4 linked regions of the Arabidopsis thaliana genome follow. The protein of the gene in region 1 interacts with the protein of each later gene in a pairwise test. Each region holds a gene or a part of one and is shown in the gene's direction. Other genes may lie near its edges.

What was found.
Region 2: the proteins of NAC061 (region 1) and RVE2 interact in a two-hybrid assay, tested with the Arabidopsis thaliana proteins (one large-scale study listed by BioGRID).
Region 3: the proteins of NAC061 (region 1) and AT1G61660 interact in a two-hybrid assay, tested with the Arabidopsis thaliana proteins (one large-scale study listed by BioGRID).
Region 4: the proteins of NAC061 (region 1) and AT2G46160 interact in a two-hybrid assay, tested with the Arabidopsis thaliana proteins (one large-scale study listed by BioGRID).

The regions. Positions count from the first base shown.
Region 1 is NC_003074.8:16,019,883-16,027,725, reverse strand, and holds NAC061 (NAC domain containing protein 61), read left to right. Parts: upstream 1-3,206; 5' UTR 3,207-3,238; coding exon 3,239-3,395; intron 3,396-3,749; coding exon 3,750-4,033; coding exon of another isoform or gene 4,034-4,075; exon of another isoform or gene 4,076-4,264; intron 4,265-4,605; coding exon 4,606-4,890; 3' UTR 4,891-5,151; downstream 5,152-7,843.
Region 2 is NC_003076.8:14,749,233-14,756,766, reverse strand, and holds RVE2 (Homeodomain-like superfamily protein), read left to right. Parts: upstream 1-3,678; 5' UTR 3,679-3,794; coding exon 3,795-3,806; intron 3,807-4,266; coding exon 4,267-4,329; intron 4,330-4,418; coding exon 4,419-4,530; intron 4,531-4,661; coding exon 4,662-4,723; intron 4,724-4,808; coding exon 4,809-5,423; downstream 5,424-7,534. Other genes in the region: AT5G37250 (RING/U-box superfamily protein), read right to left, coding at 5,796-6,422. UniProt on the Arabidopsis thaliana protein: Positive regulator for cold-responsive gene expression and cold tolerance. Part of a regulatory feedback loop that controls a subset of the circadian outputs and modulates the central oscillator. Negatively self-regulates its own expression.
Region 3 is NC_003070.9:22,751,628-22,759,946, reverse strand, and holds AT1G61660 (basic helix-loop-helix (bHLH) DNA-binding superfamily protein), read left to right. Parts: upstream 1-3,575; 5' UTR 3,576-3,775; coding exon 3,776-4,098; intron 4,099-4,218; coding exon 4,219-4,627; intron 4,628-4,723; coding exon 4,724-4,831; intron 4,832-4,917; coding exon 4,918-4,983; coding exon of another isoform or gene 4,984-5,067; exon of another isoform or gene 5,068-5,112; coding exon 5,113-5,178; intron 5,179-5,272; coding exon 5,273-5,326; coding exon of another isoform or gene 5,327-5,344; exon of another isoform or gene 5,345-5,425; coding exon 5,426-5,577; coding exon of another isoform or gene 5,578-5,581; exon of another isoform or gene 5,582-5,940; coding exon 5,941-5,944; 3' UTR 5,945-6,336; downstream 6,337-8,319.
Region 4 is NC_003071.7:18,960,361-18,967,484, forward strand, and holds AT2G46160 (RING/U-box superfamily protein), read left to right. Parts: upstream 1-2,722; 5' UTR 2,723-2,748; coding exon 2,749-3,393; 3' UTR 3,394-3,429; exon of another isoform or gene 3,430-3,925; intron 3,926-4,035; 3' UTR 4,036-4,329; downstream 4,330-7,124. Other genes in the region: AT2G46140 (Late embryogenesis abundant protein), read left to right, coding at 1-2; AT2G46150 (Late embryogenesis abundant (LEA) hydroxyproline-rich glycoprotein family), read left to right, coding at 1,064-1,729; AT2G46170 (Reticulon family protein), read left to right, coding at 5,050-5,251, 5,668-5,848, 5,946-6,087, 6,338-6,580; GC4 (golgin Putative 4), read right to left, coding at 7,122-7,124.

The DNA.
Region 1 (7,843 bases):
ATCATGGATCTACATGAAAGATAAAATAATAAAGTTATTTACGGCGCATGCATGAAACTTTAAAGTTCGATATACACTTGGACCAATTAGTCTTACGTTCACTACTTGTGCATATGTTTGAACACTCACCACTTTTACTGATTTATGAATATGTGAACTTGAGGACATAATGAACCCACTTGATATGAACTTGTAGCTTCCTATTTTTTCTTTACTCTGAGTCTATTTAAGCAAGAGCCACATTGCTTAGGTTTATCCACTCCATCGTAAATAGGATGATTTTACTACTTTCTTATATGTCATAAATTATATTGATAATTGTTTGGGTCAATATAATAATAAACCCTATGATTATACTAACCCTAGTCTCAATGTAACTTAAAATTCGGATTAAATTAATATCATTACCATTCTCAAACATAAAATAAAAATATTTAATTTGTTTAATACCTAAAATATTATTTTTGTTTCATGCATATATAGCAGGAACCATCCTTTAGTCTTACTATTATAATTCTTAATAATTAACAAATAATAAGATTTACAAAGATATTATAATCGTATGCGATATTAAATTTGGTTTTTGAATTTTTTTCCCTTTTAATATATATATATATATATATATATATATATATGTCGAGAAATGGTCTGCAAAATGTTTATGGCTAATATATATATATATATTTCTGTCGAGAAATGGTCTGCAATATGTTTATGGCTCTTTAACAAAAAAAATATGTTTATGGCTAACTGTACATATTTTTTCTTTTTTCTTTTCAATGTACATCTTGGTTGACTATTTATGTATCTAAGAAGTCTTTTTTTTGGATGCATATATATATATAAGAAGTCTACGAGAAAATTTATTGAGCGGCATGATAAAACCATCAATTTCACTAGGAAAGAGTCTTGTGTGGACTAATACGAAGGAACTATATAAATTCATCGAGTAAAAGTTTGAGATTCATTACGTCAGAGCTGATGTCAAAACAAAACAAAAAGCTCGTTATAGCTCATATATATCTAACTTATTTTCATTTTTTCATATATATACTTTCATCTATCCAATGTTTAAAAGATCAAATATTTATTGAGAGGAACCAACTATTTTCTAAAGCATTTTGGATTAGTGAAAACCCGAAAAAACAAACAAAAAATAGATCATATTGCAGACCATTTTTCTACAGAAATACGAACCCTTTTTTAAATATTTGATTATAGTAGTGCTTTCCGAAAATTTTGTGATGTTCTAACATTACTATAAACCCCATGACTAATCGGAAACACTATATATTAAGAAAATCATGGAACTGCTTGAAAGATTGATTTACTACACAAGCATGAAACCTTAAAAATTTTCAACCAATAAATATTTATACAACTAAATTTATTGTATACATATAAAGTACACAAGTATGAGGTCTTGTGGACCAATTAGTCTTAACGTTCACTGCTCGTGGAATGTTTGACACTTGCACTTAAGTTATTGGGGTTTCTTTTTTCTTTCTTTCGATACCATTTAGTTATTTTTTTAATTCACTACTTGTACGGTATCACCTGTTAATTGAAACTTTTCAACCGATTTATTATCTTTTGTTCACTCTTGGATTAATGTTCAGAAGACCGCACCAACACTTATATCTCACCTTGCCTTGTCTCTTGACTTCTTGGTTCATACTTCCTTCCAAAACTTGTCTTGTTCGTGGAAGCCTTTTGGCACAAAGTTATGTCGATTTTTGTTGTTGTTATGGTCCACTCCAACAATAAATCTGTTAAATAAGAAATATTTTTGACAATATAAATTAAATAACAAGATATTTTTACAATAGCTTTTTTTTTATTAATGGTGTCAATTTGGATTTGGAGCTCATAGGGCCTAATCCATTTACCAAGAACTATTGAATTTTTCTATTAAAAAATAGTTGTTCATACAGAAATTTGGTTAACCACATTCTCTTGAACTCTATAAGACTAAAATTAAATCATAGAACTCTAAATTCGGACACTAACCCTTAAAACTTAAAAAATCTTAAAACCGAAAGTAAAAACTATGAATTATTTATTCGATTTGAAAAGATTATTATATTGGCATCAGTTTATTATTTCTACACAATATTATTCTTATATTTTACTTCACACTAAAAATCATTGATTAATCAACTACTATTCAATTCAGGCATATTTAAATTATTCGAATAATGTCTTCAACTCTCAAATTTTTTTAATTCTGAATAGGTATGTGGATAATCATGCATGTTTGTATCACACAATACATATTTTGGTTTGCCTATTATTTTTCTCGTAGACTTGTTTAATATGCGACATGATAAAACAATTGTGTCGCATAAAACAATTAACAATCTCTTTCTCTATAAAAGGCGAAAGAAATTTCTTAAACCATAAATTTGAGACTAATAGCTGATTTCAAACAAAGAAACGTCATAGCTGATGTAAAAAAACAGTACCTCCACATCCCAATGTGTCAATGTGATACCCCGCCTAACGACTCCGTACAACTAAAATGGTAGTAGTATTAATTTCCTTTAATGTTTTTTTTAGCTTAAGTAGCTTCGGCGGATTGTATTAATCCACAACATCTAAAACTAAATGCCACTAGAATGGATGATTTATGCTTTGAACTTCAATAATATATATAGCTCATCCAAACCTAAAATGTAGTAGACCAAATGATCGAAATTCAGCAAAAATCACTTGAAGATGATTTTACCTCGTTTCAAATTGTAAAATGTAAGATCAAATATATGCAATATTGATATTTACTTTACTTCATTTATCCATATATTTTTAGTAAAAAAAAACTGTAAAATCAAATATATTTATATGATTTATTATTTTCTACGTTTCTACGAAAAACAGACATTCATTGAGGTAACAAAAAAATAGGAGGATATAATAAAGAATATTAGAAGAAGACTAGTAAGAATAAACCTTGACTTATTCAATGATAAAGTACGTGGTTTGTGAAAAGCACTCACTGTCTCACGTATAGATGATAGAAATGGCACGAAATTATCACAAAGATGGGCCCGTGTCCAATTCCCCAACAAAATATGAAAAGACAAGTAATAATACATGAACAAAAAACTAAAGTCCAAACGCGTAAAACTTTTCTCATTTCACTCGGAGAAAACTAATCTCTACTTGCACCTATTTAAACTCATCATGAGTCCATGTGGTTTCACTTTATTCAAGAAGCAAATTTGTAACACACCAAAAAATGGGAGAAGAGCTTTCTGTAGGGTTTCGGTTCTATCCGACCGAAGTAGAGCTCCTTACGTATTACCTAAGAATCCAGCTTGGTGGAGGAAATGCCACCATTCATAGTCTCATACCGATCCTCGATGTGTTTAGCGTTGAGCCTACTCAGCTTCCAAGTACGTATGCAATCATTAGCTATATAAATAATGTCGATGATATATTTGTCGTATATATGTGTAGTCTTTCACTGTAGAGTTTTCCTTCTTGCGTTTCTTGAGTAGAGTAACGTGACTAACGTTATCTTGAGATTGTATGCATGAGATTTAGGTTTGTGTTTCTTGATTTCGTGGTTAATTATAAGTTACAAAAAAAAACTTTACAAACAATCACATTTCTAAAATTAAACAATTTCATTTTCGACAAAGTTTAACTTTACATGTAATTAAGGAAAACGTATACACATAAACTGAGGATTTACACAAAAAAAATTGAGAGGTGTGTTATTGGTTTGTGTGTTTTTTTGTTTGTAGATCTTGCGGGAGAGAGGTGTCGAGGAGATGCAGAACAATGGATTTTCTTTGTGCCAAGACAAGAGCGTGAAGCTAGAGGAGGCAGACCAAGTAGGACCACTGGTTCAGGATACTGGAAAGCAACTGGTTCACCTGGACCCGTGTTCTCGCCGGATAACCGAGTGATCGGAGTAAAGAAGACGATGGTTTTCTATACCGGAAAAGCACCTACTGGGAGAAAGACAAAGTGGAAGATGAATGAATATAAAGCAGTTGAAACAGCCAGTGTATCTACCATCCCAAAGGTGCATAATCACTTCTTTAAAATGAAGACTTTCATCAAATAATTTTTCTCAAATATACCAAATTCTATTTGTGGGATTCCAATATAAAAATAACTGATGTCTCAACACCTTTTTGGACAAGCATGTGCAGTGAACTAGCAGAATAATCTTTAATACAATTATTACAAACAGAGATTATTAAAAACGAATCACCCTTTGATTCATGTCAAAAATCTTTATCATGGTTATTTTATATCTCACATATATAATCTTGTCTTACATATATCGTTGTTTTCAAAAGTTATATATGTGGTAAAAGAGTGTGCGAAAAATTACATGTGTTTTTAAGTATTTGAAACTATCCAATTAAATATCATGCATACATAAATGATAAAAACCAAAATATTCATGCATGCATTCTTTTGTCTATTGGTTATATATTAGAGTTATAGAATTTCTACCATCCCTATTAGGGATTCCCTAAGATGCATAATGTTATAATATCTAAGTTACTGATAATATTTTAGTAAAACAATAGTTAAGCTTTCATTATCAAAACAGGTTCTAACGAAGTTTGTTCCTATTCAATATAGTTGAGGCCCGAATTCAGTATCTGTCGAATCTACATAAAGTCAGGAAGCTCGAGAGCCTTTGACAGACGTCCCACAGAAGCTTATGCGATAGAGAGAAATCTTCCTAGCAATGGAGTTGAGACATCATCTCGTGCCACAATATCAACCTCACCAGAAACTTCACATTCAGGAGGAAACCAAGTTGATTTACCGGTGAATGCTACTACTATTACACAAAGCATCTCAGATATGGTTGATGAGCTATCGCAACCTTTTTGGGAGTGGGAACAAATGAATTGGTCTTAAACGTATTAATTTACTTCTTATGTTCATTTGTTACTAAATATACAATAGAAGATAAGAAAAAAAAAGAACAAGTCGTCAGATTTGTGGCAACTTTTGTTCTTTTCAGTCGCCAACTAGTAGTATATGACCACGACATTTTTAAGCCTAACCTGATTATTAGGCTAAGCTTGAAGATTCATTATTTTTCACGCAAGTCTTTTTTCCTTTATTTTCATGTGTACCTTTTTTTTTTTTTTTGCTTTTTGTTTTGAATGAGTAGAGAATTTTTGAAAGGTTAGTTCTACTTGATCATGGAAGATATTTAGATTACTTTGCATGTATTATTCTTAAAAAAAAAAAAAAAATCGATAGAAATTAGCTTCAATCAATTAGATCAGTCTCACATTCAATATAAATCCGCCGACACTTATTGCACTTTCTTTATTTCCATTTTAGTATTGTATGTGTGATCATTTTAACTCTCACCATCTGTTTTAGAGGTGTTCTTATATATATAGAGATGTGATCTCTCATTAGATCGACACAAAAAGACAAGGATGACTGAATGAGTATAAGCATCTCAACCGGGTCATGTCTTTGATCACGTTGAAGCTCTTTGTTAGTCGTTCAAACTTCTGTCCACGAAATAAAAACTGTAAAACAATTCTTAGATTTTTTTTCATTATGTTTGCAATATAGAAAGAACACATGAGACAAGAAAACATTTTTTTTTAAATTAATTTATTGAGTGAGGTGTACATATTTTGAAATATGGCTTATGCTTTATCGATGGTGCAAATTACTCTTACAAAAAATAAGGTCAAGTGCTTAGGGATGTCAGTTAGGTTGTCCACGTCTAATTCGTTTTTCTGGAAATTAATGATTAAAGTTTTATTGAAAATTCTATGTAAACTGATTGTTTTATCAATATCATAAATTAATAATTATAAAAGTTCATCGTCAATCAACATTTCTATAAATTATAAACTAATTTTTATCTAACAAATGATCCATTTTAATTTCATATACTCTATTTTTTTGTTTAGGAAAAACACACATATTAAAGTAAATTTAAAAATGACAATTTTAATTAATCTTGAATTATTAAAATTTTATTTAATAAAATTATAAATCTGATAAACATACGCAAAAAAGAAGAAAGGCAGGTATGGGTTATTTTTGTATTTATGTATCCATTTCCCATGTGTAAGATCCCCATGCATTTACAACAATTATTCTTGTCAACATCGTCAGCATTATTAACAAATTCTACACACTTCTACGTTGGTTCAATTACTCACGTAAACTTTTTTAAAAAACTAAAATTTGGAGCCAAATTTTTTAGAAATCTACTCCAATTTTGTTTACCGGCAAAACTAGTATGTTTTGTTTAATCAAATGGCTATATATATTCTCAATAATTGAATTGAGTTTGGAAGCTTGTTCAAGTCGAATTGATGATTTACTTTAGAATGATCTCCATGAATTGGTTGAACAATTTCCACCATTTCTATGTCGTCGTTAATCTCATGAAACTTGTTCAAATCGAATTCATGTTTAACTTTGAAATTGTTAACATGAAAACCTTCTTCCGTCTTCATCTTGTTTTGAAAATATTTTTTTTTTTCTAACATCAACATGAAGCTTTATTAGAGTGATGATGTGTAATCCTCATGGAGGATTTGTACAAGAAAAGTTGGTACATAAGAATGAGATACATAAGAAACATTGCCATTATAATGAGCTTTAGCTAGGCGATCGGCTGCCTTATTGCTTGTTCTGGTTGACCATTGAATGTTTTGACCATTGCCATTATTGCTTGTTTTGAAAATATTTTATGAATTTGAAAAAAACAGATCAAAAAGAATTTTGAGTCAAAGAGAGGAAAATAAGAAAAAACAATCAATAGCTGGAATAATAAGATGAAGAAACGTTAATCATGGAAGCAAAGAGAATAAACGTAACAAGAGGAAGATGATGAAAAAAAAACTTGTGATGATCAAAATAGCATTCGTTTTTCCACATATACTCTATAAAACAATCAAGATAATAGTTATGTGAATTAACATTTTGTTTCATTTAGTGCTGATTTCGCGTAAACCTAAGCATCAAAATAAAATTCTTCATATTCTTAATTTATTTTATTCTAATAAATTTGAAAACAAATACAAAGAATAAAGAAAGATATAATAGGAAATATAAAGGTATTTATGCATAGAAATTAGGAAAAGATCAATCTTTTTGAAGCAAATTTTTTTCCTAGAAAATCAAATAAAAAGGAACAGAGAGAATAGAATTTTTCTAATTTTGTTATGAAATCAAGTTAAATACAAAATAGAAATGATATGTTAAATTCTAATTGGATAGACTATGTCATACTTTCCCTTTACATGATATACTTTCCTTTTCATTATATAACCGAACTTAAACCGAACAAATAACATGAGAACCGGACTAAAATTAACCAAAAAAGTAGACGAGCGTCCGGTTCTATTATAACCGGATCTATATCAAGTGTCTCGGGTTCGATGCAACGCACCGTTACCAGTTTCAATTAAAACGCGACAGTATTATATAGCTTCAAAGGGCCCTCATAGCTTCTTCTCCTTCCTCACTCATCGATACTCAAAGCTCGTAATCTCCTTCTACTCTCCAGGTTCGTGATCTTCGTTGCATTTGCTCTTATTCATCACCAAATTGCGATTACTCTCTTGATCTCTCTTAAACCTTAATCGTTTCAATTCGAATTCATCAGATCTGATCCTATTTCCTCTCATTGTCACAGATCCGAGGATTCTCTTCGTTTACAGGTATTTCGATTTCTTCAATTTTCGATTTCTGTATCACTGATCGCTTACGGTTATGGAATTTGATCTTGTTGTTTTGATGCATTTGTTGATGATTGATGATCATGATTTTTCGATTTTCGTAGATTTGTAAACGTTCGTGAAATTGGATTTGTTGATCTCTTTGG
Region 2 (7,534 bases), on another chromosome or scaffold:
TCATTCATCTCAAAAGGAGCCAATCAAAATCAGCAATGCTTGTTTCCTTAACATTACATATGAATCTCATGTGTTTGCATGAACATGCTTGTCAAGAAACACCTTAGCCAAGTTACTAAAGCTTACACAGACTGATTCAGCAACTGCGTACCTCTCCATAAGATCCACCACTTCTGGCCTCAAAATATCCTCTCTTATTGCTCTGTTATAGTCACACATGTAATACACGGTGGAGCCGATTAAGATGAGACGGCGAGGCTCGGCGTCGAGAAACAAAATGATAAGCGAGCGTTGGGCCTTACAAAGCCCATTAATATGAGACACCGAGGCGGCAAGTAGCAAAATTTGTTAACCCAAAACGCTAACAAGATTGGGCCCATTAAGATCGTATACTAATCTTACATCAATAAGCATTGTTTAATCTTGTCACGATGAATTCTCAATCATTCCACTTTCATTTTTGATTTGACTTTTAGATATTAAAGAAGAAGAAAAAAAAAACCTTTCAACGACTATACACTTAGGGTCAATTCTCAATTTCCCATATAGATATTTGTTCGTCCATAAGTTTAGATTGTTGAAAGAACTCTCACTTGCACCGACTGTTCTTTATAGTAATCAAATAGTCGTCGGTTAATAATGAAAAAGTATATATTTCGATTTTTCTTTAAAAAAAGCAACAAAAATACATGAACCAAGAACTTCTTAGTGGCCACTACACCAGTATTTTACTGGTACAAGTATTTTTCTAAGAATATTATAGATTCGTAAGATCTACAAAAAAATGTAGCGATTGAAGAAAAAAAAAACATGAACTCGATAGCTTAAAACACCGAAAAAAAACGAGTGGGCAACAAATTTTTGGTAATAAAAAAATAATCGAGTGGCGTAGAATAACAAACCATCCATATCCCTATCCTTCTCTCTATTACCTAAACACAACGACACGTGTCTGACTTTTGGAACATCTCAGAGGACAACACTTTTGTGCTGACTAGGCAATAAAGTGCAAAACAAAAGTGTTGTTTTTTTTCTCCTCTTTCATTTTGAGACAGTTGTACCAAACAATTTCTAATTTGGATAAATGGTTTTTTTTTTCATTGAAGACTTCCAGATATTTATTTTACAATTTTTGTCCTTCACATAAAATACCTATTTAATTTTGTTTTGAAGTTGACGGCTACTGAAATTTAAATATCTCTTTCTTCTTTTTAAACAACGCTCGTGTATGTTTTTATTTAGCTACTCGCTTTCTTTGCCACATACTTGGGTCAAAAGAGAGCACTCCAAAAATATATGATCTGTCATTTGAAACCTAACTATTCCTGATAAGTCTAGGTTCATAGTCTAAAGTTCTTGGCCCTCATTTAGGTATAAATAGTCTAAATTTAAAGTATTTAAGCAAAAACAATACTGAGAAGAAAAAAAAAAAAAAAAAAAAAACTACGGTAAAATTTCTAGAAATGTTTAAGAAAAATCTAACTAAAATCAAAAGAATAGCGTATTAAAATACTAATTTTATTGGATTAACTTAATTTGATGAAAATGTCTCTTAATATTTATGGCGATATGTATGTTGGTTGGACTTTGAAATTGTTTTTATAGATTTAATAAGATGAACATTTTGTTCTTGCTTGAGAGTGGCTGGGTACACAATTTTTTTCACTTTGTTCATGCTAAAATTCAGTTTTGTCTTCTTATATTTACATCTAAGTTTATGTTTGATTATCTGAAACCCAAATTATCAAGTATTTTACGATTTTTTGAAATAAACGAAATCTGTTTATTTCCTTATTCAAATTTTATAAAATTTTGTAAGAGTGATTTGATTGAAAATGGACAACATTTGGAGACATTTTCAAAAAAAAATGTTATAAAAGGTTATTTTAAAATGCTTTCAAAAATATCAATATAATAAAGAGCGTGATTATATTTTAATTCAGAATTATTTAAGTGATCGAAAATATCATAAATTTTGTATAATTAGAGCATTTGTTCTGATATGCGACATATTTTACTATAATTTTATAGGAACCATATAAATTTAATTTTTTAACTAATTCCAGTTGCACATTTGTTTAGATGAAAATGATTTGATTGCTGCATGATATAATTTATTTACATTTAAGCATATATTTTATTCTATTTTGATGAATTGTGTGGTATTTTCGTACTTAAATTTTGATATATTGTATGTAATTGTACAACATACTCAATCATATGTTATTACTTCTAATAATTTGAATATGGACATACTCAGAAAGGTATCAAGGGCTCTTTCTCTAGCTATTGTTTCTCATATAATCTTTTCAAAATCATATATCATCACCAACTATACTCATCATTCTCGGGTACTATGAGCTCTAACTAGTGGAATGGTACTAGAACTTTGACACACCGTCTAGTTGAGATTATAGAAATTAAAGATTATGTTATATATAGTAGAAACAAAGTAGGCCAAATTCTTATAGAAAAGAATAAACAAAATTAATATAAAAGATAAATGAAAAAACGGTCTTGAATTATAAACAATTTGCTAGGTGTGATTCAACATTGTCTTTATTCAATACTTGTTGGGTCATAAACATTCAAATTGCATATTATTGTTACTCTAGTATTCAAATTGCATATTATGTTTTATCTAAACTAACTTATATATTTATTTTGATAAACATGTCATATGATATTAAACTTATTTTCAATTGATCATCTTCTAAGTTGATGCATTTTAGTATTTTATATTCAAATTTTGAGATCTTAGTATGTAATATATTTTCAGGTTTTTACTATTCATCAGTTTGATGATGCAAATATACATAGTACGAATAAAATGAGTGAAATTGTTTAATTATATGATCAGGAAGAAAAAATAATATTCCAAAATCCAAATTTTAGTGGGTAATTCTTAGCACAAAAACAAATTTTGTTTCCAAATATATCACATATTTTTCAATGTTCCACAAATAGCATTAATTGTTGAAATTTGTTATGAATAAGAATATGTTCTATAACATTATATGAATTAGAATTATCAATAGATAAAGTGTGTCAACTCAAATCGCTAAATTGTTGAAAACAATTTAATAATATATTCATTTAATATATTCTCATGTCAATATGATATGATTAGATCTATTTAGTGAGATCTTATTTAATTGTTAATTCTAATAAAACAAAAATAGTGATTATATTACTAATAAATAATATAATTGTTTAATCTTATTTTATGGAACTGTATTTCTCAACTTCAATTAAATACTGTACCTAAACCTAAAATTAAATATGCAATCAACTTGATTAATAAAAAACAACAAAATGGGGTAAGAAGTAAACAACGTTGTTAAACAAGACACGCGCTCACCAGTCGCGAGTTTGGCAATAATCATGAAATGAGCTTCTTTAAAAAAACTTTCTAGTAGATAAATTAAACAATTAAAAATCTCCGACAAGATTTAACAAAGAACAGATAATATCTTCTCCGCAAAGACAAAAGTGAAAGCGAAGAAGAAATCCTCCACGTGTCATTAGCATCTTTTAACCTGAGCCACATGATACTAGTTTCTCGAAACCCCTCTTTACGCTTTTTCACCCAAATTTTTATAAAAAGAAAAACATTATGCTTACGTGGCTTATCTTCTTCTTGCTCTTTTAAAGTAACCCCTTGACTCTGCTCCTTTCATAAACAACAACTCTCTCACCAATCTCAAAACAATTCTCTCTCTCTTTATTCTTCTTCTTCAGCTTCAGATTTCAGATCTTAAATCTTCAAGTCTTCTTCTTCTTCTTCTGCAACCATGGCTATGCAGGTTTGAGATCTATCTTCTTTGTTATTCTTTATGCAATCTTGATCTTGGTTTTGTTACTGTTGTTATGTTTCAAGTCTTGTGGAATCCAGACAGATTTAACCTAAACTTAGGTTTATGTCCGAGAGAAAATAGGTTATTTTGTTATCTAATTTCAAGTTTAATCTCTTTGTCTGAGAGAACTTGGAACTGAAGATTATTCGATTGTGGCAGGTTAAAAATTGTGTTAATAGACCAGGCGATTATGTGGGATATTATGGTCGGTTGTTTTAAAGAGAGATTACTTCTTTCTTAATGTATTGATCCGTATTAGGTAAGAACATGTCTCTAATCCCCTAATTATTACTGGTGGTCTACCTCTTCTAGTTGCGTATTAATTAGTTTTATTAGACTCTTTGTAACATTTAATTACTCTTACAATATATTAAGAGACTAATTGTGTTTTCTTACTTTGTGATTATAGGAACGTTGTGAGAGTTTATGTTCTGATGAACTTATATCTTCCTCAGATGCCTTTTACCTCAAGGTACTAATTTTGTTTCTTAATCTCTTGTTTACTCTTGATTGGTTTTGAACTTAAATATGAGGTTAATTTAGGGTTTGTTTTGTTTATAGACAAGAAAGCCTTATACCATCACTAAACAAAGAGAGAAATGGACAGAAGCAGAGCATGAGAAGTTTGTAGAAGCATTGAAACTCTATGGCAGAGCTTGGAGACGAATCGAAGGTGTGTGTGCTTATCTGACTTTAGAGAGTCTAATGCACATTCTAATCTAAGTTTGATGAAGATATAAGAAAACTACTTGGACCCTAGTAATGAGTAGAGATCTGACTTTTGTTGGTTCTTCTATGGAACAGAACATGTTGGAACAAAAACTGCAGTTCAGATTCGAAGCCATGCGCAGAAGTTCTTTACTAAGGTTTGCCTTCTTGCAGACCCTTATACATGAAAAAGTTTCAACCTCTTCGTGTTAAGCAAGGTCTAATTCAAGTTTTTCTTATTAGGTTGCTCGCGATTTTGGTGTTAGCTCTGAGTCCATTGAGATCCCGCCTCCAAGGCCAAAGAGAAAGCCGATGCATCCTTACCCTAGAAAGCTTGTGATTCCTGATGCAAAAGAGATGGTATACGCTGAACTAACCGGATCCAAGCTGATTCAGGATGAAGATAACCGATCTCCAACATCGGTTTTATCAGCTCATGGCTCAGATGGATTAGGTTCCATTGGTTCAAATTCACCTAACTCTTCTTCAGCTGAGTTATCATCTCACACAGAGGAATCATTGTCTCTAGAAGCAGAGACCAAACAGAGCCTTAAGCTCTTTGGAAAAACTTTTGTAGTTGGTGATTACAACTCTTCAATGAGTTGTGATGATTCTGAAGATGGCAAGAAGAAGCTATACTCAGAAACACAGTCTCTTCAATGTTCTTCTTCTACTTCAGAAAACGCTGAAACAGAAGTGGTAGTGTCGGAGTTCAAAAGAAGTGAGAGATCAGCTTTCTCTCAGTTAAAATCGTCGGTGACTGAGATGAACAACATGAGAGGGTTCATGCCTTACAAAAAGAGAGTAAAGGTGGAAGAAAACATTGACAATGTAAAATTATCATATCCTTTGTGGTGAAGTGTTCGTTTGTGTCAAGTCAGTTGTGTAAACTCTTTTGATCTCAACATCAGATTATGTGTATAATGTCAGAGTATTAGGGAAAGTTTTTTTGGATTAGATTCGTAAGATCACTCCAAAGTTTCGTGTCTTTCCATATAACCAGTTAGAAATTGAGATCCTTGTACTTAAACATTTTTATTTGATCAATCAAATCTTCTTGATAACTCTAAATTGTTGTACATAATAGTAGTCTCTATCAAGCATTTCATTCGAAAGGATTAACAAAAAAGATTAGGTTTACAAAAAATACATCAAAAGCAAATGTTTGAAACATAGAAACAAGTAATGCATCATAAACCCTAAGACTAGCTTCAAGTCTCTGTGACGGTTTCACTCTGTTTCAAGATCTTCCTCGTACGGTACTCGTCGACACAAAGGACACGACCTCTGACGCTTAAGCCACTCAAAGATACAATTTTGATGGAACAAATGGAAACAGTCAGGTAACAGAATGATGTTATCATCATGACTCTCCGAAAAGTCCTCCAAACAAATCGAACAAGTGGTTTCTTCTTCATCTCCCAAATCAGTCAATTCCATTGTTTGTTCCTCAAGCAATCTTTGAAACGTATCTGTCGACCTAACAGCAATAGACGAGAACATAACATCTCTTGTCACTTCCACGTATAAGGACACACTAAAAGGTTGGGGAATATGAGCACAATCCAAAACGATCCTTTCGCTCAACAATCGACAAAACTCAGTATGTGTGATGAACTCGTCAAGGTCTTGATAGATGTGATGTGAACTGAGACATGATGGTTTCAATTCGATTTTAGTCATAAGTGGAGCCGCGAACGTTCCCAAACACATTACGACACCGTTTTGATCTTCAGCTAACTCGTTGACCACATCTTGTAGATTGACGAACACGGTGTTTCTAAACCCTTGATCTTGTGGTAGGATCATTGCTGTTGTAGTAATCTTTACGGACACCAAATTACTATATGTATTCATGGTGGAAGAAGAAGAAGAAAAAGAAGATTCAAAGCCTAACTTTTGATATGAAGAGATAAGATTGTGAAATCAAAGAGAAGAGATCGATGAAATTGACTTAAAGTGAGGCTGAGTGAATTAATATATATATAGAGAGATATTTTACGTTTCGACGCTTCAGTTGGAAAAAAGGAAATCATAAACAAATTTGTTGACGAAAAAGGAAATTAAGGAAAGGAAAACTTTGACCAAAAAAGAAAAGAAAAGGAAAACATGAATTTAGTAAAAATAAAAATAAAAAGGAAACAATCAGTTTTTTGATAAAAAGGAAATTTAGATTAACAAAACGCGTCAAATTTTTTATTTAATTTTAATTAACTAAAGTCAGATAACAAATCAGACCGTTCCACATTATTTCGCAACATTACTTATACTAGATGAATTTCCATTACGCTTGGATTTGTTTTAAAAATTGTTAATAAAAATATGTTAATTGTTTTTATCGCTAATTTATATTTATTTTTTATTTATTATTGTATAACTAATAGAATTAGACTCATAATAGTATTTATGTTTCGACAGTTGTTCCAAATACCACCACCTCAGTGATAATTTAAGTGAGTGTATATTCAATGTTATATATATCGATATTGTGAACTTCAGTTGTATCTAATGTTTTCATTTTTTAATTTCCGTATAGGTTATACATGATGATGGTTTTGTATCCTATTTATGGTACTTGTCCCTTGGTAAACATTTACTGATGTTGTTTGAAACACATATAAAAATAAATTGGTTATGATGTTGTCCCGTGGTAAGCAATGTCTGTTTGAATATTTATAGAGCTTATAGTAGTGAAAGCTTGTAATCCCATAAGCTGGGAGTGTGAATATGTTTTAGTGAAATAAATTGTGCATCTATTTAAAAGACAGTTACGGCTGCTTGTTCCTTGATTCAGTTCTGTGTAGCTTCTACTGTGGCATCCATTCTGGCAGTTACAAGGTATAAAACGTTTTTTCTAAATAAATATGATGTACAGAAAGGGAGACTATGTTGTTGGGTTTAGAAGCATTAAGCCATCATTGAAATGGGGCCGACCTATTAGTATTGCACTCTGATAGATTCTAAAACAC
Region 3 (8,319 bases), on another chromosome or scaffold:
CACTAAAAAATTACGTAACTATACAAGTTTTAACACATCTCGCCATGATATACACTCTTTAGTAACAGTATTAATTGAATTCCAATATTACTTGGGTTTTTTTGTTGGTTTATATATATCAATATATCGAATATTTATATCAATTTTAATGATTATAGTATATTTTAATATGAGGTATTCCTTTTAAATTTCGATATGTTTAGTTTGTTTAAAAAATTAAGGCTGAGTTTGTTGCAAAAGAGATTAGTACGTATGTTGTTGACATAATTTGTTATATGGGACATTTTGAGAATTTGATTCATATAATACTAGGACTCTTTTTAGATAACTTAATTATTTATTAGTTTTCGAACTTATGTGAACTACATGAAAATAATAATTACATATGAGCTCCCGTGAGTCCCAAAAACAGCATTACGTTACTTACGTGTAAAAAGAATGTTATCATAAACATAAAAACAAAGAAACATGTGCTTTTCCAAATACAAAACAAAAAATTGTTAGGACATATGATGATTTGATTTTGGGGTTTGAAGAAAAGAATGAGTCGCTGACACTTATCCGACTATCTGCGCCAAACAAAGTCTCCACTCATATTTGCCGTGTGGGTCCTATTTTTTGACTACTTGTCGTTTTCCTTCACCTACTTTAAATTTTATACATGTTCATATTGCTTCTAATCGTATATACGTGTCTATATCACTTTATATACGTATATAGCAATACGTATTTTGGAGCAATTCTTCGTCAACTAAGTTTTTTTCATACAACGAGTGCATGAATCTCATTGTTCGTGATCAAGTTTTACTCCAACATCCGAAAGTGTTCGTATACTTGCATTGTGAAAAGCGGTATATTTCAAAACTAGTCGTTGATTCAACTATATATGTTGCCACCATGAATATACTAAACAGAAAATGGAAGAAAGCTGAATAAGATTGGGGACTATAAAATTTAGCATATGTGTCCGATAATAATAAAATCCAAATATCGACCGACAAGAGCTTAGAGGAGTGTCGGTGTACATATCGATGGGATCGACCAGACCGTTAGAGAAAACAACCGATGGGCTGACAAAGATTCTTCGGATTTAACTTATGTTGTCATACGGTGGCTGTGACACATTCTTTTGACGTTCATTTCATAACTTTTATTTTATCGATATCAACCTAAACGAAACAAGTGTTTTCATAAATAAATAAAAAGTTAGTCACGTTGCAATAATGAATTATTATTTTTTTCATTTTTGGCGGAGTGGACTGGTGGGCTTAAGCAAATTGATCAAATTTGTTTTGACACTTTCTTAGTTTATATTAAAATTAATTTTAATTGCACGATGAAAACTTACTAGTCAGTCGCATGGATCTGACCTAACTGTCTCTGTATTTCAGTGCTTCAAAGCTCTTTTAAGTTTTAAGTCAAAATGCATTGTGTCGCATAGAGAGACCATTAAGAAAAAAATTCAATTAGTTCTTAATTAATATTTTAATAATAATTAGATAAATTGGGGCCTTTATAGTCTTCATTTGTCCTCAATAGCCATTATCCAATAAAATATTACCAGTTTCATTTGATATTTTTGTGTCATATTTTTACCATTTAAGACTTTTCACAATTCGAATAGCCATGAACAATAAAAATCTACGAGTTTCATTTGATATTTTTTTTTTTTTGCCGAATACATTTAAGACTTTCACTTCTACTAACCATGAACAATGGTCTCCCAATTACAAAATATATTTTTGAATCATTGGACTACCATAAATGATTAGTGTCTTTTTTGTATTACATGTAACGTAAAAATACCATTCTTCAAGCATTCATAACAATTTTTTTTTTGTCAAGATACATAACGTAAATTTGAATTTCGTAATAACGATACTAGCACAATTTAGCTTAGAATATGTCCAATTTTTTTTTTTATTTTGAAAGGAGATAGATATATAAATATTATATACATGGATATCGGTGAAATTATGTTTATTATCTATGCCTATCGTTTGATAAAACTTGTATATTTTATGGACGGTGACACAGCCCGGTTCACTATGCCTCGAGCCGTATAATGATCATAAAGAACAGAACTGGTTACTATTATCAGGTTCAACAAATCCATTTTTTGATATTTTGTGTGGCTATCAGTCTATCACATAAAATGGAAAAAGAATTAAGAGAAAGAAGAAAAACAAAACAATGACTTGTAATTAAAGTGCAATAATTGATTGACTTATCAAATTTATTAGAAGAATAAAATATTTACGGAATTTAGAAAAAGCTAGTTGAAAAGAATAAGGACCGTTTGGTATAAAGAGATTGTGAAAAAAGTCACAAACACAATAGGTCCAGAAACGGTGACGTGACACACAGATCGAAACTCAGCATCGATCGACGATCGTCATCATATACCATTTATCCCTTTAGCCTCAAGCCACAAGAACAAATCTTATTTTATAGTACTATTTTTAACCGAAAGAATCCGATCGACAATGAAATAAATATCGAACTCATATCAAGTGCTAACTCTAGGTTTTGCCATTAATTTTGCGTTTTCCAATCGAGCTAAAAACAATTGATCGTCTATTAAAAAAATAAAAATTCCTATGATCGCTTTTTCGATCTAAAACTAATTTTTAGTAATAGTAATACCTGTTAAAGTATAAATATCCCTCCCAAGTACTGAAAACTCAAACCTGAACGAGCTAGCCTAGGACTCAACTTTTATCTCGAAAGAATCTTTGAATATTACTTTTGAAAATAAGTGAGTCTAATCCTTGAAGATATATGTTTTAAAGTTTTTTTTAGCAAATGCGATTGAGAAAACATATATTTTAACTTCAAGATAATCATTACTGTATGAAAGTATGGATAATTAATTAGAAGAAACGTTGTTCAAAAATTGGTTAGTCGTTTATAATTACCAAAATAATAAAACAATTATTAATACGCTTGCATAGACTAATTAGTTTTTTTTTTTCCTAAGCTTACTAAAGTGATCTGATAAAAATCATGTATGGAAGCATGAAAGTAATAAAAAAATATCAAGTTTCAAAATTTTAGTCTTTCATATTTATGTACATTTATATATATACGCATGCGTAGACTATAATCAGTCATTTTCGTGTTTTGTCTATACAATTACTAAAAACTGATTTAATCAAAATCGTGATATGTTTTCTATTTCTGACCACTTAATATAAACGATCGATTTGTAGAATTTGATGGCAACCAATCAAAGGTTACCGTTAGATATAATGTCTATATATAAATAGTATCCCCTTTTGGCATCTTGCATAATAGTACCAAACACCTATCTAATCTCAAATTAAATATTTAAATATTTATAAAATGAGGATCATTATCACTTCTTCGAAAAGCTAAGCAGCAAAGAAACAAATCTCACAAAGACAGTTGTTCTTATAATAATAGAAGAAAATTGAGGGATTAGGAACACTATTATTACAACATCTTTCTGTCAAATAAAATATTTAGCTTAAGGAAAAAATTTAAAATCAAGATTATTTAATTAAAAAAATCACATAGGAATGTTATGATGATATAAGTTTTTGTCTTCAAATGTCAACTAAATTCCGGTAATTTCCACACACTTGTCCGTACTTGCCTATATAAACATACACACCCTCATAAACATATATCAAAATTTTACACTTATGCTCTTCATATCACATACAACAAACTCATATATATAAAAACTTTAACCTTCGTATAGCAACGATCTAGTAGAAAGCTTATACTAAAACTTTCTGATTCTCTTAATATGGCGGAGGAGTTTAAAGCTACGGCATCGATTTGTGGTGGCGGAGGTGGCGCGTGGTGGAACTCGCCAAGGAGCGTTATGTCTCCTTCGGATCATTTCTTGTCACCATGCTTCGGAGCGGCTATCACTTCCAATGATTTTAGCTCGCAAGAGAATCATCTCAAATCTAGGATGACTTGTACGGACAACAACAACATCGTTTTCGGGCAGCGAGAGGCGGATTCTGACAGTGGAGGAAGTACCGTGACGATGGACTCGACGTTGCAGATGATGGGTCTAGGGTTTTCCTCAAATTGTTCTTCAGATTGGAACCAAACCATTTTGTAAACTTCTTAAAGAAAAACCCTAACTTAATTTTTTTTGTTCACTTTCTTGATGAACAAGATTGAAGATTTTTAATAATAATCATGAGATCTCTTTTGTTCTTGTTTTGTATTTTTCAGACAAGAAGACTTAAACTCAAGCTTCATAAGGAGCTCACAAGATCAAGATCATGGCCAAGGATTCTTATCCACAACTACTTCACCTTATATACTTAATCCAGCTTGTTCTTCATCTCCATCAACTTCTTCGTCCTCAAGCTTGATACGAACCTTTTACGATCCCGAACCAAGTCCATACAACTTTGTCTCCACCACAAGTGGTTCAATCAACGATCCTCAACTTTCTTGGGCTAATAAGACAAATCCTCATCATCAAGTAGCTTATGGACTAATTAACAGCTTCTCTAACAACGCAAACTCTCGACCCTTTTGGAATTCTTCATCAACCACTAACTTAAACAACACGACGCCGAGCAATTTTGTAACCACTCCGCAGATAATATCTACTCGTTTGGAGGACAAAACCAAGGTAAATTATCTCATATATGTCAAAATAATTTTGCTACTATATAAGTTTTGTGGCTATATTATTGAATTTATTTATTTATTTATTTTTGTTGAGAAGAATCTGAAGACAAGAGCTCAGAGTGAGTCTTTGAAGAGAGCAAAGGATAATGAATCTGCGGCGAAGAAACCGAGAGTCACCACGCCTTCACCGTTGCCAACTTTCAAGGTACATGATCATATTTCAAGATTTGTTTAAGACCTTTTATTTTAATTCAATTTCTTGGTGGATAAAATGGATTGTATATGTAACAGGTGAGAAAAGAGAATCTAAGGGACCAGATAACTTCATTACAACAACTAGTTTCACCTTTCGGAAAGGTGAATGATTTATGTGTTTACTTTATTTTATATGGCTTAATATATACAACCAAAAGCATTTATTTTCCCTTGGTTATGTATTGAGCTTCTTAGTTTGTTTATTTTGTATATCTTTGGGTTAAACTTCAGACAGATACTGCATCTGTTCTCCAAGAAGCTATAGAGTACATCAAGTTCCTTCACGACCAAGTCACTGTACGTTTCTTGTGATTTCTCTCCTAACTCACTGAATTCATAAAACCCTAGAAATGAGCAAATTTTTAAGCATATTAATGTTTTTTAAATACAGGTTCTAAGCACTCCATACATGAAACAAGGTGCCTCGAACCAACAACAACAGCAGGTTCAATACACGATCTAGTGTTTTAGTTTTGTCCAAGTTGGAGTCTTCGTGCTATAATCATGGTTAAATAAGTACTAATTTCAGTATGGATTCATGTAGATATCTGGTAAATCGAAGAGTCAAGATGAAAATGAGAATCACGAACTAAGAGGACATGGTCTATGTCTCGTCCCAATATCAAGCACGTTTCCGGTGGCTAACGAAACAACAGCCGATTTTTGGACACCAACGTTTGGGGGCAACAATTTCAGGTAGAGAAGGTGAATTACGTATATCATACGGTTCTTAATTAGCATTAAGATATTATTTAATAATGCTTAGCATAAAAATAAAAGAAAATAAAATTCACAAGTCATGATCAAAGATTGAATCATTACTTGGAGAAAAAGTAGAGATGGGAGAAGAAGAAGGTGACTCTTCAAAGGTGGGCAGAGGCAACAATAGTGTTGGAGGGGACCAACTACGAAAGCAAGAATGATTTAGGGCTTAGAAAATTTGGGATAATAATCTATCATAAACTAATAGATAGATATATTTTTAAAAACATTAACTTACATACTCTCATGTTATATATGTAATAATTAACCTAAATTTCACTTTTTAATTATATATAGGTGATTAAAGAGAGAGGGTTGTGGTTGTCAAGACGGATGGGAACATATGCTAAATTCAGCTTGGAGACTCTAAAGCATAACAATAATTTTTAATGTATTTTCTTCTTCTTTCAATATTTTAAGGGGGGTTTATTGCTGAATTTAGCATATATGGGTTGTTTTTATGTTGAATAACCTTTTGTTCCTGTCATTGTTCTTGAATATATATATATACATATTTTTGTCGTTGGTAACATCTTTGTTAATCACTTATTAAAGTTAGAGAACATAATAATTGGTGGTTTGTCATATGAAGTTCTTTGTTGTTTTTATAGAGTTGTTTTTTTCATGTTTAATCATAAATTTTAATTTTAACAATCACAAAACCAACACTTATAACCTAATTGTTTGTGATAGTGCCGTTACTCTTACATAGTTACATTTATGTCCAAACTTGCAAACTTGCACATTTTCTGGATACATGCATGTATTTATGTTCGTACATATCCATGTATAAATATGTGTCCATATGGATTCAACTTTTTGTTGGTTCGATTAAGAACTATATATTATGGAAATTCAGTAGTGGAAGCCAGTAGAATAGCGGCCCACACTGCTTCCTACTTTATGATTTGAATATACATATATGATTTTAGTATAGATACCGATAAATATATACTGATTTGCATTCAACATCATTTATGTTTACAGAAAAAAGATTATTCATATGTTACTATAAAGACATATATGTGTGTCTAATCTATCAAATGCCACTCAAAAATATATGCAATGCAAGAACAGAATTCTTACCTTAGATCTCAATATCGATAAAATACTCAACAAGTCCCATGCATGATTAGTACGTATTTATTATTAAAAAACAAAATCTCAAATTATGCCCTATTGGAAATTAATGTTGGTTTTCTCCAAAGTACAAACAAATTAAAAGAACATAGCATGGAGTCAGGATTCAAGATTCTAAAAAGTGAAAATGGAGTTAAGGTCGAAAGTGAACGTATGGAACGGTGAATCTACACATTCAAATATGGTTCTCGGAACCATAAATTAAAGAAGTACTAGGCTTGATTACCACAACATGTCTCTGGCCATTGGAAAGAGATCATTCCGCGACTAAAGGAGAACCGGCAAATGTTTGTTTATGAATGTTTTTCATGTTGCAACTAAGATTATCGTCGTTGATAGAGAGAAGTTAAGATTTGGTTGCAACTCATATTCGGCTATATCCTTTGTCTCAGGATCAACAAAAGTTACCGTCCTACGTAGATTTTTTGGATTCATGAGGTGCTTCGGCTCTTGTCATTGGTTTAATATGTAACTTGGATTCATGTAAATTTAAGTTGCTAAGTTTGTGAATCTAGTGACATCGGTCCCTCTTCTAGTCTTCTTAAATCTTAACCAATAAATTACAGAAAATGGTCGATTACAACTATATATGTGGTGGCTCATATAAATTTTTCGTACCTAACAAATAACAATCTTCGACATAAACAACATATAACTAGTCTAAAATATTGGATATTATATGAGAAAGATAGCATAAACTTGAGTACATTTCAAATCAAATTTAACTTCTACCTGAAAATTCGATTCACTAGTTTCAACTGTAGATCGATTAGAATCAATGTTGTAATAGAGTTTGACAAAATATGCCATGCGCCAAAAGAAAGGAGGATCATGTATAATGTAATATGAATATAAAAGGCAAAAGAAAACATTATGAGCATAAATTTTTAGTCTTTTAGATGTACAATAAAGGACGAACAAGTTTCATCTTTTTTGCTTTATGTGAATACAACAAGTTCTTAATATCTTCAGCTATAAGCTTCGTTTGATTGAAGCTTAAAAGCCTTATTCCTTTTTCTATAAATAAATCACATTGATTCTAATATTGTTTAAGTTTCCGAGTATCACAAAGACACACGGCTTATTTTCCTCCAAAGAGTTTATATATTCTCTACTATCATGAATCAAAATATATCCGTTTTATATTGATATCCTTTATATATTGATATCATTTACAGATTTTCTTTTGAAAATCTTTTACGTGAAGGTTTTTTTCCATAAAACATTCGAATGAAATTGCTCATATAGTTTATGAAGTTTGTTAATTGTTCCCAATATATTTAGAATCACAGAAGTAACCTTTAAATTGTGACATAGTGTTACAAAGATAACATTGGTAAAATTACTTTATTTTTGGCTTTTTTTTTATATGAACGGTAAAATAAAATTATCTATTTAAACTAGAACTGTACGGTTTTCTTTGGAAAAAAATCAGTCCAAAATAAAAGAGCTTACATGAAAAAGATAAAACCTCGTGCTATTGCCTTTTTTGCAAGACAATCAGCACGTATATTGTTTATAAGAGTCCTCTTTTTA
Region 4 (7,124 bases), on another chromosome or scaffold:
AATTACCTTATTTCAAATATAGTTTTCTTAAATCATAATCTAATTTTCAATAATGTACGATCCATAAACATAGACGATCGGAGATTAATACATTTCTGGAATCCTTTTTTTATTTTGTTGATTTCAACAAGGATTTTATTGGTTATTAATTATGTATGTTTTTCAATTGTGTGTGTGATTTATCTTTATTTACCTGCTATGCGTAGAAAAATCTGTTTCCTGAATGTCGAGAGATTTGAACCATATATTATCCCATATGAAAATGAATACACTCCACTACTATTCCGCAAGTCAAATGTAAAAAAAAGTTTATAAACAAAAAAAAAAACTAATAAACATAAGTTTGTGTATGAAAAAAGATGGTTGTCTCCAGCTAAATATAATTGCGAAAGATTATTTAGGAGCAAACTGGAATGTTGAACTAACTAAAACTAATGCATTTAGTGTTAAAAATCCAAATAATCTGTCAATATTCTTTCAAATTATTGAACTAGAAAACAGCTGTTTAAATGATTGTGGAAGACTCAAACACAAAGTTGTGTCTTGTATACATTCAAAATACATTAAAACCAAAACAATGTACATAAATTGATGAAATTGAACCCTATTTATCTAAAAATAGTTTCCAGGTGGGAACGATTCTATACGACGTTATACTTCCTTTTTCTTTTTATCTTTCTCGAAAGAATCCTCTGACGTTGACGCAAAAGTCAAATTTGTGTAATGAGCTGGCAAATTCTAATTGGCGCAAATCGGCATCCCCACCGATACGCAGCTTCTACTTTTCTTCCACCTATATGACCGTTAAATTCAGACTCAATTTAATACCATTCCCATTTTTCCACTGCAATAATTGACCCCAGTTGTGTTAGTGGTTAGGACAATTACATTAATTTTTCTTTTACTTTTTAAAATTTATTTTGGGTTTTCATTTAAAGAATTGATTGCACATGAAACACAGGCAGGACATATAAAATTCAACACTTTCCATCACTAAGTTTGGTTTATATAAATCACATAAACCAGAAGTAATTAATCAGATAAAGACCGAAAAAAAACCACCATGGCAGATTCTGAACATGTACGGCCGCTAGCTCCGGCGACCATACTTCCGGTGAGCGATGAATCCGCCTCCAACATCAAGAACACACACCGTAGTAGAAACAGAATCAAATGCTCAATCTGCGTCACTGCAACATCTCTAATTCTAACCACGATCGTGTTGACTTTAGTTTTCACGGTGTTCAGAGTCAAAGACCCGATCATAAAAATGAACGGCGTAATGGTCAACGGCCTAGATTCAGTCACGGGGACTAATCAAGTCCAACTGTTGGGGACAAACATCTCGATGATCGTTGACGTATCGGTCAAGAATCCGAATACGGCGTCGTTTAAGTACTCCAACACCACGACGGATATATACTACAAAGGAACGTTGGTGGGTGAAGCGCATGGGCTACCGGGGAAGGCGAGACCGCATCGGACTTCGAGGATGAACGTGACGGTTGATATTATGCTTGATCGGATATTATCGGATCCGGGTTTGGGTCGAGAAATAAGTAGGTCGGGTCTTGTGAACGTGTGGAGTTACACTAGGGTTGGTGGTAAGGTGAAGATTATGGGGATCGTGAAGAAGCACGTGACCGTTAAGATGAATTGCACGATGGCTGTGAACATTACGGGACAGGCGATTCAAGATGTTGACTGCAAGAAAAAAATCGATCTTTGAGGTATACGTCATACGATCGATCGATTAACGTTTTTTTTTTTTTAGACAACGTGAGATATGCGGATTAGAAACTTTCGTGACAAAACCAACAAAAAACACTATCTACTTGTTCTAGTTGTTTTTTAAAAAATTTGGGTCATTTGATTATCAGCACGATGCAATAGATGTGTTTCTTTATGTTTTCTTCTTCTTGCAAAATTTGTTTTTGTACAGTTGATCAGATTTTGAATGGAGTGAACATAAAGTCTACGTTAAATAAATAATATCAACGTTCCAAAAATTGACCGATGACTAATCCATTAACGTATTAAAATCTTTGGATCATATGTACTAAACCGACTCGTTGTAGATTAGTTAGTACGCGTTGGCTAACTGGTCGATTTAACAATTTCATTCATACAATTTTGCTAGTTTAACCATAACCCATTGTTTGCTTTAGTTGTAATTTTGTATGATCTAGATACAAGAAATACATCGTTTTCCTACGATCTTCGTGATTAGTTTACATACTCATTAATCGTGACCATTATCAGTTTTTCAAACCTCGGGTCCTTAGTTAGTACGAACCCCGAGCCAAGAGTGTTTAGTAAATTGTAGTGGGAAGCCTTGAATTACTCAAATGTAACCAAAACGAATATCAACGAAACATGACAACGAATAAGTGTAAAATATTTTCAAAGAGGACCCATCAAACGAATATTGTTAAACAGTCAACGTTACATGGCTCGAACACATTTTATACAATAAACAAAAAAAATTACAAAGTAAAACAAGAAAATATATTATTCCTTGGGGTTGGGCCACTTAATTAATAAAAACCTAACTTACTAATAAATGCAAATTTCAGTTTCCAAACAATATTAAATGCATCAGCTGCAATTCCCACCCACCTCTTTTTCTCTTCCCCTAACTAAATTAATTAAAATTAAATTTTCAAAAAAATAAAAAAATAAAAATCTCTATCACTCTCTTCTCTCTCTCTCCCACATGGACCCAGTCTTCTTCTTCTTTACCATCAAATGTCAACACTCGCCTCCTCCGCCTCCGTCTTCCTAGTCCACCCTCCCCTTCCACCGTCGCCACCACAAGCAGGCAACCACTCTTACCTCACAACTCTAGGCTTTGGCTACTCCATAGCCATAGCTCTCGGTTTTCTCGTCCTTCTCTCGACCGTCCTTTTATCCTCATACATCTGTTGCCGTGACTCTCGCCGCCGCACAACCGCCGTGGAATCCACAGGCGATCGTGGCGGAAGTGTAATCCTCCCCCGCATAATCTTTGTCGCCGAGGAAGACAATGAAGATCTCGAAGCAGGTGATGTCGTGGTGGGACTTGATCAAGCCGTCATCAACTCATACCCTAAGTTCCACTTTTCCAAAGATACCTCCGCCGCGTCCTCAGATGGCTTTGGTGGCGGAGGAGACACAACGTGCTCGATCTGTTTATGTGAGTATAAAGAAGCGGAGATGCTGAGGATGATGCCGGAGTGTAAACACTACTTCCATTTGTGTTGCCTTGATGCGTGGCTTAAACTCAACGGATCTTGTCCCGTTTGTCGGAACTCGCCGCTTCCAACGCCGACTTCAACGCCTCTGTCAACGCCTTTGTCAGAAGTTGTGCCTCTCTCCCAGTACGCGGCCGATCGGAGGAGAGCAAGAAGATGATATTATTATTACATAGATCCATTCGCCTAAATTAGGGTAATTCCTATTTATTATTTTTGCTCCGTTTCATTACAACTTTACTGATTTGTAATTAAAAAAAATCCGTCAAAAGTGGAGTTTGCCATTAATTTCATCGAAATGAAATCTAGTTTGAATCGTTTACTAACCTTACAAAATTTATCCTTTTCTATTGGCGTTTTTGAACGTTTTTTTCCGTTTCCCCTATCAATATGAGCGGTTCAAAATAAAATACGCGTCCGTGTTGTGTAACTTAAATAAAAGAGTTTGAGTTTGAACAAGGCAACTTACTTTTAGTTTTTTGTTGTTTTTTGGTCAAGGGTCGGAAACTAAGTTTAGTTAAAATATTAGATTTGTTGAATGTCGGAAATAGATGTTTCTAAAGTTGGGAACAAAAAGAGTTACGACTTAAGATAGTATAGTTTTTTTTATTGCATAGCGAGTACAGAAGATGAATTCAACGTCGTAAACTCGTAGGTCCAAATGTTGGTCGAGTTAAAGTGTACTCTAGGACAACTTTTCTAAATGAAATTAACATTTTTATAGATAAAATGTTTTTGTTTATATATATCACATGTGATTTTTGTTTCAAACTAACCGATCACAACATACCTATGTTTGAAGAAGCGTTGCCTTCAAGCAATTCTGCATTTCTTCTACGTGACCTGGATGTTTCTGGTTCGATGATAGCCGAAAACTGTTATATTTTTCGTAAGGCGCACGTTAGTCACACGAATCCTAAGGAAGGTTGGTTGGTGTGAACACTTTATATTAATACATTTGAAAATTATGGTTAGTCAATATATAGTCATAATGAAATGCGAATGTGTTATTTGACTTACACTAGTCCACAAATTCGCTTTTTCCTACACGGCACTATCCTGTGGAGCGTAGTGGTAATATGTTTTTGTAATTAAGTAATTAACCTCGCTTTGATTTTGATTTATTCTCTTTCTAGCAACTTGTATATAGGATACATAATTAGATGTATATCACCTACGGAATGTAATAGAGTTTAGCATTATTACATTACATCTGAATAATAAAAAAAGCAGTAGTAGATTAATACATGTTAAAACTTAAAATAACTCGACCTATCAAAGCCGCTTACTTAAAGAGAGAGTTACGTCGTGAGCTTGTATTTTTATTTTTTTGACGGCCCAGTAATATATTAAAAGCCCAAAGGCAAACATTATAGAAGGCCCTCTTAAGGGGATACAAGCGAAATTACGTCGTGAGCTTTAATGCTTCATCATAATTAAGTTTGAGCCGTAAATTTCGCTATACGATATGGGACACGTGTCGTGAATCTACTCGTGGTATCGGTTACTTAATGAAAAGGCACCATTCAACGTTTTCTTCCTTATCGTTGCCTACACGTTTCAAGGCTCTGCTTCTCCGTCAATTAACGTCCGTTTTCGTCATCAAAATACTAACGCCGTTGATGACCTTATTTAAAAATTAACTCCGAACCACGACGTTCGGGTTTTGGAACCTCAGGCTCGTGGTTATAAAAGTCTTGTGTGAAACCTATTATATTTGCCATTGCTTAATCCTCTCCTCTCCTTCACGTTGAGATATTTTTGAGTTTTCTGTGTTGAATTTTGGGGAATCGAAGAAATTGAATTTCAAAAATCAATGGCGGAAGAAATTGAAAAATCTGTGCCGACAGAGGAATCTCTGATGGAGAAGATCTCCGAGAAGATTCACCATCACGATTCGTCGTCATCGTCTGAATCCGAGTACGAGAAACCTGATTCTCCTTCGGCTGTGAAGGCGAAGATCTATCGTATGTTTGGCAGAGAGAAGCCTGTTCACAAGGTTCTCGGTGGTGGAAAGCGTAAGGGTTTTATATATTCAGTGTCTCGTCTTTTCTTTTTCTATCATTTTTTTCTCTGGTTTGATCGATTTGGAACATGCGTTGATGCTTGATCTGCAATGTTAGGGTCTAGTTACACTCGTATAAGATCGCTTGGTGATGATTACATAATTGCATTTTCTTGAATCGATCCATTAAGATTTGGGCATCCAAAAGAAGACTTGAACTTTAGGGATAATGTTTTTGAATAGGGAGAGTTCTTAAGTTGGTTGATTAGATTGAAGACATTTACGTTTCTCTAATTTTGCAACTTGTGGAAATTTTGTTACACCAATTTTTGTATGAATGCAATAAATTGGCTTTATTGGTTTATTATGTTATTGACTTCTGAGTTCTGAGGGATTCTGATTTTTCTGTTTCTCAATGACTCTTTGCAGCTGCTGATGTGTTCTTGTGGAGGGATAAAAAACTATCAGGTGCTGTTCTTGGTGTCGCGACTGCTATTTGGGTTCTGTTCGAGCTGGTTGAGTATCATTTGTTGAGTCTTTTGTGTCACATTTCGATACTCGCTCTTGGAGGCCTCTTTTTGTGGTCCAATGCTCACACACTTATCAACAAGTAAGATTCAAACCCTTGATCATGTTAACCCCGCCCTAGATGTTTGTTCTTTGTCTGGTTTAAATGGTCTTAAAACCTTCTTTTTTCATTTTTGCAGGACTTCACCACAAATTCCAGAAATCCATGTTCCCGAGGAGGCTTTCCTTGTGGTTGCTTCTTCTCTGAGAAACGAACTAAACCAAGCTTTTGTTATCCTACGAAGCATTGCTTTAGGAAGGGACCTAAAAAAATTCCTGATGGTATGCTCATTCTTTGTTGCTGACGTTTGCTGTGTTTAGTTAAACAGTTTAGGAAATGATTAAGTTTGTATCGGAAATTAGTTACATTTCAACCTTTCTCTGTTGAACCGTGAATGTATCACTTATACAAAACATAATATCGTAAGTATCTTCTAGCAACAGTGTGTCAAGTTACAGTATGTCATAGCCCATTAAGACCCTTCAAGTAAACTCATTGTCCTGAATCTGATGATGAGATTTGTTATGTCAGGTTGTTGTCGGTCTATGGATCATCTCGGTGGTGGGCAATTGGTTCAATTTCCTGACTTTGGTGTACATTTGCTTCGTGATATTGCACACAGTCCCAATGTTGTATGAGAAACACGAGGACAAGGTTGATCCATTGGCAGAGAAAGCAATGAAGGAGTTGCAGAAACAGTATGTGGTTTTCGATGAAAAGGTTCTCTCTAAGATTCCCATTGCTTCTCTCAAGGCAAAGGCAAAATTGGGTTAAAAAGAGAGACAGACGTCTATGGTTTTCTTTTTGCATTTTTGATCATGTGAAATTGGTGGTCACTTGCAGGGTTTTGCCGCTAATGGCCCAACTGTCCTTTTTATGATTTTATCACGTTTTGAGTACACTTGTTTTTTCTTTTCAAATACCATTTTTTCCAGCTTTTTATGGAGAATTCTTGAGCTCATGAAACGTGAGACATTGTTTCGTTTTGAATATTCCACAAATATAGAAGATATAAATCACATATAAGGATTCTTAACAAAAATTTGTAACATTGTTGTAAGACAAGCATGAATCATTCCACTGACGAAATGAATCAATTGCACTCATCAATTGTTCTAAGTAACTAATATACGTATTAATGATATAACGGAAAACATCACGGAAAAAAAAAGCTTCAGATTTTTTTTTCTTTGAATGATATAAGAAAAAGAATTAATAGAATATAGGTGTGAGAGAGATAATTACAACACAAGAAGCAAGAGTTTCGGATTTTAGATTTCTACAAAACGTGTATAAATGTATATACCAAACCGAGTCA